2 linked regions of the Callithrix jacchus genome follow. The protein of the gene in region 1 binds, or shares a complex with, the protein of each later gene. Links are inferred from orthologs where the notes say so. Each region holds a gene or a part of one and is shown on either strand. Other genes may lie near its edges.

Region 1 (4,362 bases):
TGAGACGGAGTCTCGCTCTGTCGCCCAGGCTAGAGTGCAGTGGTGTGTTCTCGGCTCCCTGCAAACTCTGCCTCCCAGGTTTAAGCAGTTCACTCCACCTCCCAAGTAGCTGGGATTACAGGTGTGTGCCACCGTGCTTAGCTAATTTTTGTATTTTTAAGTAGAGATGGGGTTTCACCATGTTGGTCAGGCTGGTCTCAATCTCTTGACCTTGTGATCCACCTGCCTCAGCCTCCCAAAGTGCTGGGATTATGGGCATGAGCCACCATGCCTGGCATCTGGTAAGTTTTTTTTAACATATAAAATAGCTCTATTCCAGAGCCTTTAAATATTACTTCTTACAGATTTAAAATTTGCTAACTTCATTGACACTGAATTTTAATACTCTGAATTAAAATGTAATGCCATATTTAAATCCACATATCAGTAACACACTAAATGTAAATGGTCTAAACACAGTTAAAAGGCAGAAATTAACAGATCAAAAAAGCAAGATTAGCTATGCTGTCTGTAAGAAACCCACTTTAAGGAAATAGACACACCTAGGTTTAAAGAATGAAAGAAGGTAAACTATACTGACATGAATCAAAAGAAAGCTGGAGTGACTATGTTAAAATAGATGTGGAGGCAAAGAATATTACTAGGGTTAAAGGGGATTATTTTGTATCGTTAAGGGGATCCATTTTTTAAGAAGACATAACAATCATAAATGTTTATTTGCCTAGAAGAATTTCAAGAAGTGAAACAAAACCCAGAAGAACTCAAAGAAGTCCACAAATTTGCAGTCATAGAGCTTTCAGTACCTCTCTCAATTAATATAACAAGTAGACAGAAATCATGATAACTTGATATAACACTATTGACCAACTTAATGGACATTTATAAAACATTTTATCTATCTATATCTATATATTATGTATCTGTTTGAGACAGTCTCACTCATCACCCAGTCTGGAGTGCAGTGGTGCAGTCTCTGCTCACTGCAACCTCTCCTCCCGAGATAAGTGATTCTCCTGCCTCAGCCTCCTGAATAGCTGAGATTACAGCCACCTGCCACCATGCCCAGCTAATTTTTTGTATTTTTAGTAGAGACGGGCTTTCACCACATTGGTCAGGTTGGTCTCGAACTCCTGACTTCAGGTTATCCACCTGCCTTGGCCTCCCAAAGTGTTGGGATTACAGGTGTGAGCCACTGTGCCTGGCCTAAAACATTATATGTAACGATAGCAGAATACATATCCTTTTCAAGTGTATATTACCAAGATAGACCGTGTTCTGGGCCATAAAACAAGTCTCAGCCTGGAACAGTGGCTCACACCTGTAATCCCAATACTTTGGGAGGTCGAGGCATGTGGATCACTTGAGGCCAGCAGTTTGAGACCAGCCTGGTCAATATGATGAAACCCCTGAATTAGCTGGGTGTGGTGTCACACACCTATAATTCCAGCTACTTGGGAAACTGAGGCAGGAGAATCGCTTGAACCTGGGAGGCAGACGTTGCAGTGAGCCGAGATTGCACCACTGAACTCCAGCCGGGTGACAGAGTGAGACGGTGTCTCAAAAAGAAAAATCTCTATCATAAAAGGATTTACGCCATACAAAGTATGTTCTCTGCAATGGAACTAGAAATCACAAACAGAAAGGTAACTGGAAAAATCTGCAGCTTCTTTAAAACTAACACATTTGCAAATAACCTGTAAGTCAAAGAAGAAATAAAAAGAATTTGTATTTTGAGCTGAATAGAAATAAAACACATGAAAAATCTGTGAGATGCAGCAAAAGAAATACTTAGAGGGAAATTGATAGCATGAAATACCTATATTATTAGAAAAGAAAAGTTTCAAATCAGTGATCTAAGCTTCCACCTTAAGAAACTAGTAAAAGATGAAATTAAATACAAAGCAAACAGAAGAATTAGAATATATAAGGGCAGAAATCAGTGAAATAGAAAATAGGTAATAAAGTCAGTGAAACCAAAACCTGTTTTTAAAAATCAGATCACTAAATATAATGCTATAACTGCTTATTGAACTCTTTAAGTGTGGACAAATATTTTTGTCAAGATCTGATGTGGTATTTGTCAAGATCTGATGTGTGTCTGTACACACATACACAACAGTAGTGGCCATTAACATTTGAGCTAATACAGTTTGGTTAAGGAAGCAGAAGGATTCAGCATCATAGAGATGTAACAAAGGTCACATAAAAGTCTTTCATGGAGGAACTTATGAGTGATTTATTCTTCTCCCTTTAATAAAATTATCATTTTAAGCTTTATTAGACATGGAGTTTCAATCATTAACTTTAGATTTAGTTTAAAACATCAAGTATACTTTAAGGAAAACAACTATCTCTTTACAGGCTGCAAACTACTTAGACATCAAAGGTTTGCTTGATGTTACATGCAAGACTGTTGCCAATATGATCAAGGGGAAAACTCCTGAGGAGATTCGCAAGACCTTCAATATCAAAAATGACTTTACTGAAGAGGAGGAAGCCCAGGTAGGTGGCACACAGTTTTGTCTCTGATCGCATGCTCTTAAAAAGGGACTAAAGCCTGTAATACACCAGAAAAGAGGTGACTGTATCAAGTAGTCTTGATACTTGAGGGATACTAGGTAGTTTCTGTGTCTTAAACATACTCTTACTGTACTGTCTGTATGAGTCTAAACACTTACATGATACTGCATTTTTTTTTTTGAGATGGAGTTTTGCTCTTATTACCCAGGCTGAAGTGCAATGGCGCGATCTCGGCTTACCGCAACCTCCGCCTCATAGGTTCAGACAATTCTCCTGCCTCAGCCTCCTGAGTAGCTGGGATTACAGGCTCGTGCGACCATGCCCAGCTAATTTTTGTATTTGTAGTAGAGACAGGGTTTCACCATGTTGACCAGGATGGTCTCCATCTCTTGACCTCGTGATACACCCACCTCGGCCTCCCAAACTGCTGGGATTACAGGCGTGAGTCACTGCGCCCGGCCGATACTGCATTTTTAAGCATAAGAACAATTAGTTTTCAACAAGAGGAGCTCTTTCTTGTAAATGTGTTAACAGTTACTAGTTCTGGCATCTGCAGCTTTTTGTATAGACCATACATATCTGACTTCAGAAAAGCAGGCCCTAGAGAAGTGTATGCTAGGGCACTTGAGAGCAACTTAATGAGGGGAGGAAATGAAAAAATAGATCAGAATGATTTTGTTGACATGACTACAGACTGAAATTGTGTCAGTTAACTAACTGAATTTGCTCTGTCAACTTTAGTAAACTGCCCATTGTCTTTATTTTGTTCAGAATTTCAGCAGGGCAGAATAAAAACCTTGGGAGGCAAAAAAAGGAAATCCAGAAGTGTAGTCTCAGTCTGGTGTTCTGATTTTCCATCTATTCTACTGACTCACTGGCTATCGATGAATCAGTAGGTAGTATATTTAAGTCTTAGGAAACACTACTAAAGTTAAGGTACTTCCTTATATCCATCTCTTTTAGGTACGCAAAGAGAACCAGTGGTGTGAAGAGAAGTGAAATGTTGTGCCTGACACTGTAACACTGTAAGGATCGTTCCAAGTACTAGTTGCACTGCTCTGTTTATAATTGTTAATATTAGACAAACAGTAGACAAATGCAGCAGTAAGTAAATTGTATTAGCAGAATATTGTCCTCATTGCATGTGTAGTTTGAGTACAGATTCCAAATCTATGGCTGAGTTTCTTCTAATATGATTGAAAGTTTCTTTTTTCTTTGCTCTGAATAAAACTGAACTGTGGGTTCTCTATAAGTGGCATTTTGGGCTTTCCCTCTTTTTTGTAAAGCAGTGTCTGCCTAGTTTATTGTCCAGTTAACTTTAGTGACCTTTTAAAAGTTGGCATTGTAAATAAAACAACCTGCAAAAAAGTTATCTGGAATAGAATTAACAAAATATTATCTTTATTCATGAGTTGGAAACTGCAAAAGGCTTCTTGAAGTAAATGTTCTGAGTGGAGTTACTAGGATGTCTTTCAGCCTCCTGCAGGCAAGGAGTACCACCATATTGATTAGCCTGTATTTAGCAGGGCTCCTCCCTTCATTGCATCTGAGGACTTGTCTTCTTTTTCTTTAATTTTATTTTTAATCCTCTTAGCTTTAAATATATTGCCTAGAGACTCAGTTACTACACAGTTTGTGGTTTTTTGGGAGAAATGTAACTGGACAGTTTGTTAGCTTTTCAATTAAAGACACTTAACCTATGTGGGATGTCATCTTTTTATAATCAGTGTTCCCATGTGGGGAAAATTATTCACACTACTTGCATGTAAAAATAATTTAACTTTTAACATTAAAATATGTGGTAAAATTCAGAAAACATCCATCATGAATGCAAGATACTTT
Region 2 (4,362 bases), on another chromosome or scaffold:
TTTCAGATTTTCTTTTCTGTATTAACATAGAACTTAGAGCCAGCTACCTTCCTGATAGGAAATTTTCTCAACTAATTTTCAAGGTGTATAATAGGGAGAGGGCAGGGGAGAAGCACTCCTGGAGACACCAAACAATTAATTACATCGTAATGGAGCTATAGAGGGAGGAGTGGATGACTGGCCCTGAGAAAACGTGATTTCTCTGGTGCCAGGATTACACTCAGAGGCATTTCTGTCTATCTCCACTTTGCAAGGCACGGTGCCAGTGAGAACAGCAGTTAGTACACCCATAGTGGGGTTTACTAGCTTCCACACCGTGTTTGGTGGGTTCTTAACTTCAGGATGAGGAATTAAATTTTTTACCCAGCAGGAAGTGATTGCCATTTACTGATTTTTTTTGTAGCAAAGATCTAGCTTGGGATATGAGTATTCCAGAGATGTGCTGTCATAAGGAAGGAGATACTAACAAATGCTGCTCACTGGAATCAGGGAAGGCAGTTAAGTACATGTATGTATGTACACAGCCAGGAACACACCTGTGAAAGTCAGTTTCATGCCTTAGACTTGATAGCACAGTGCTCTTAGGCATTTCTATTTATCTTCTTCCCTAGCTGCCACTGGACACACCTGTGATCCTTTTGCTTTCTGTTGAAATGAACTGAATTGCTCATTTCAAAGAATAGTTGCACTGATCAGCAGCAGCCTGGGTGACTGAGCAGCCACCACATCTTACCCCACACAAATAAAGACCTAGAAGAAGTGATCTCCATTACAGGCATTACTGTTGTCTGCAATGCAGGGGTCCACTGACATAGTTAAAAAAAAAGACTATGGGGTATGTGCTAGTTCAAAGGTAATAGTTACCATTACCAACAAAATTTCCAAAAGATGAGGCCAGTGAATCTATGCAGTAGTCTTAATAGACCAGTAGATGAATTCTGATTATACATATTCCATTTGTCTACTCATAATATTCCTAAAGGTTTGGTACTCCAATGTTCTACACTGGAAATAATGTTTTACCCAAAAGCAAATCAATGTTAGGCAGATTCCTTAGATACCAGAAGGCTGAAATCAAGATTACTTTTGGACCTCCCCAGGCAGCTTTGGAGAGTATATAGGATGGTAACTGTGAAAACACTTTGAAAATGTATGAAGCTCCTTACATATATGTTGGCTGGGCATGGTAGCTCATGCCTGTAATCCCAGCACTTTGGGAGGCCAAGCGGGCGGATCATTTGAGGCCTGGAGTTTAAGACCAGCCTGACCAACGTGGTGAAACCCCATCTCTACTGAAATACAAAAATTAGCCGGGCTTGGTAGTAAACGCCTGTAATTGCAGCTACCAGGAGGCTGAGGCAGGAGAATTGCTTGAACCCAGGAGGTGGAGGTTGCAGTGAGTCAACATCACACTGCTGCACTGCAGCCTGGGCAACAGAGCAAGACTCTGTCTCAAAAAATAAATAAATAAGTAAATATTTAATGTCATGATTTTCATTGGGAAATATTTTTTTTTTTTTTTTTTAGGGGACAGTATTTATTCAAAAACAAACCTCCTGATGGGAATACTCCTCCCAACTCTTTTTATAGAGCACTTTATCCTAAAATTATACAAGACATTGAGGTAAGAATCTGTGTATTTTGGGGTATTTTCCAAATGGTACATCTTTCTTCAGTTGCAGTATGGTTACACCAAGCCCATTAAGGTTTATTGACGTGAGTTGAAAATCAACCTCTTGGCTGGCGTGGTGGCTCACGCCTGTAATCCCGGCACTTTGGGAGGTCAAGGCAGGTGGATCACCTAAAGTCAGGAGTTCGAGACCAGCCAGGCTAACATGATGAGACGCCATCTCTACTAAAAATACAAAAACTAGCCAGGCATGGTGGCACACATCTGTAACCCCAGCTACTCAGAAGGCTGAGGTAGGAGAATTGATTGAACCTGGGAGGCAGATGTTGCAGTGAGCCAAGATCCTGCCACTGCACTTCAGCTTGAATGACAGAGTGAGACTTTGTCTCAGAAAAAAACAGAAAGAAAAAGAAAATCAATTTCTTTATAGTTAAGTAGGGTAGGTAAAATAAATTGCTAGGCAAAATTTTAAAGCTTTAAAAAATTGTTTACTAATAGATGAAAGAGAATTAAAGAGATTGATCCCTTCATATAATAGCAGTGTGACTGGGAAACTAGTACCCATAAGCTCATATTTAAATATCTTCTGAATTCAGCCGCCATAGAAGTTCATCGGTAGTGATGGCCATCGCATATGTAAGAGCACTGAACATATAACCTCACATAGTTCATAGCTTTTCTTCTCTTGATGAGTCATCTCTTCCCACCAGATTTATTATTTAATTGAACAAATGATATGCAGGAGGGGGTTCTAGAAAAAATCTTTAATTACCTTGCAAAAGGAAAAATACTTTATAAATTTAGATAGTAGCTTTTTTAATAGATATTTTTTAGTTTTCCCTAAGCGATGTATCTCCCACAGAGTAAAGCATTAAGTCATTGATTGCCATTAAAGCCCAAAAAGGGTTTGGTTTTAGGCGTTTCCTAATTACTGCCTCTTTACCTTTCTGTCTTCTCAGACAATAGAATCTAATTGGAGATGTGGAAGACATAGTTTACAGAGAATCCACTGCCGAAGTGAAACAAGCAAAGGAGTTTACTGTTTACAGTATGATGATCAGAAAATAGTAAGCGGCCTTCGAGACAACACAATCAAGGTGAGGTCTGTTCAGTTGTAGGAAGGTAGCTGAGGGAGCAAGGGTGACCACATTCATAACACAGTCCACAGCATAAACTCTAAGCATTATTTCTAGAAAGTAAGTGAAGATTTTAGATTGTTTCCAGTCCCAAAGCCAAAATCATTTCCTTAAAGGACAGACATCTGCTTCCCCCTAGAATACTATACAAATAGGAAGTCTCTAGGGTTAAATTCTCTTCTTGAAATGAACTGAATGGGCTATTACTCTTTTGGCCCTCACATAATTATAGGCTACTCTGTTCTCTAATTAAAAGGATAAAGGTTTGTATTAGTACTGAAGCCGTATATGTATGTATGTATGTGTGTGTGTGCGCGCATGCGCGCGCGCTTAGCTATACTTATAGGAAAGAATGCATTCCACACTACTATGGGCTTTGATTATTTTGGGAGATCAAATACATAATAGGACCAACAAGTCTCCACAGCACCCCATCATGACATTGATCAAAAGGATCTTATTTGCCATCCTAGATCTGGGATAAAAACACATTGGAATGCAAGCGAATTCTCACAGGCCATACAGGTTCTGTCCTGTGTCTCCAGTATGATGAAAGAGTGATCATAACCGGATCATCGGATTCCACAGTCAGGTAGAAAATTTCAAATGCTCTTTTGAACTTTGAAACATCAGCTCTGCTCTGTTCTTTGTCATAGATAGTAATTTTGTATATATCGGCACAGTTCTGAAACTAAAGAAGAATATACCACCGAGTCCCCATCATTTGTGTCAGTCTAGAACTAGAAAACTTGATTTAGGAATGCTTGAGGTAAGTTAACATTTTCGCACGTTTAAGAAACTACACATTCTATTTTAATTTGGAGAATCATCTATCACAGAAACTTTTCTTATCCTTATGGTAAGGCTTGCATTATAAAAACCACCTCACAGGGGAATGACATGAATGTAATGAAGCCGTCCTTTTAGGTGGTTGTAACTGTAGTGCAGGTCTGTATTATCTCCTTTGAAACATGTACAGGTGAGCTGTGCTCTTTGTCAGCTCCTCCCCTGCCGTCCCTGCAGTTTTTAATTGCGAGCTTCACTCAGGGAGGGGCCCTCAATTTCCAGAGGCGTTAGTGATTTGATGACACAGCCATTATACTGCTGGAGTCCAGGATAGCTTGAGTTCTGGGTACCAGCAGCACTGCTGGGAACTTCTGTTAGGAATTTTGCCTTAAGCTGAAGTATTTAGCAAACATAATGCATCAAAAGTAACTTTAAAAAAAAATAAACCTAGGAAAAAAAGCAGTTAACTGCATTGTTCGATACTCTGAAGTTAAATGTTTACCATTCCAAGTTATCCTCTGTGAATAGAAAAGACTGTTTGTGGTTTTTGTCTTTTGACTTAAAGGCATAGCAAACTCGGTCCGTGTAATTATTGACATTTAACATTTATTGGTGCTTGTGGAGCAAGTGCCTCACTGAATCTGAAATACTGTAGATGCTAACATCATTTATAAGATAAAGAAAAAATGATATTCCATAAAAGGGGGCTAAACTGGAAAAAGGAAATAACATGTTATAAAACCCAAAGTAAATACACAAAAATAGAATAATCAAATATGTCATCACACAAAATTCCCAAGCTATCCAGTG

What was found.
Region 2: the proteins of SKP1 (region 1) and BTRC are in contact, whole or in part, in a crystal structure (PDB 1P22), measured with the Homo sapiens proteins. The link is inferred for Callithrix jacchus from reciprocal best matches to the Homo sapiens genes SKP1 and BTRC. Residues at the interface, in NP_733779.1 of Homo sapiens: Asn51, Ala53, Ile54, Val95, Asp96, Gln97, Gly98, Thr99, Leu100, Phe101, Ile104, Leu105, Asn108, Leu116, Asp117, Cys120, Lys121, Val123, Ala124, Ile127, Lys128, Gly129, Pro132, Ile135, Arg136, Lys137, Thr138, Phe139, Asn140, Ile141; in NP_378663.1 of Homo sapiens: Met175, Leu176, Gln177, Arg178, Asp179, Phe180, Ala183, Leu184, Arg187, Leu189, His191, Ile192, Ile196, Leu197, Tyr199, Leu200, Asp201, Ser204, Cys206, Ala207, Ala208, Glu209, Leu210, Val211, Cys212, Lys213, Glu214, Trp215, Tyr216, Arg269.

What each region holds. Positions count from the first base shown.
Region 1 is NC_133503.1:74,176,223-74,180,584, forward strand, and holds part of SKP1 (S-phase kinase-associated protein 1), read left to right. Parts: intron 1-2,361; coding exon 2,362-2,502; intron 2,503-3,483; coding exon 3,484-3,519; 3' UTR 3,520-3,545; exon of another isoform or gene 3,546-4,362. UniProt on the Homo sapiens protein: Essential component of the SCF (SKP1-CUL1-F-box protein) ubiquitin ligase complex, which mediates the ubiquitination of proteins involved in cell cycle progression, signal transduction and transcription.
Region 2 is NC_133513.1:94,482,912-94,487,273, forward strand, and holds part of BTRC (F-box/WD repeat-containing protein 1A), read left to right. Parts: intron 1-1,527; coding exon 1,528-1,624; intron 1,625-2,589; coding exon 2,590-2,727; intron 2,728-3,239; coding exon 3,240-3,358; intron 3,359-4,362. UniProt on the Homo sapiens protein: Substrate recognition component of a SCF (SKP1-CUL1-F-box protein) E3 ubiquitin-protein ligase complex which mediates the ubiquitination and subsequent proteasomal degradation of target proteins. Recognizes and binds to phosphorylated target proteins.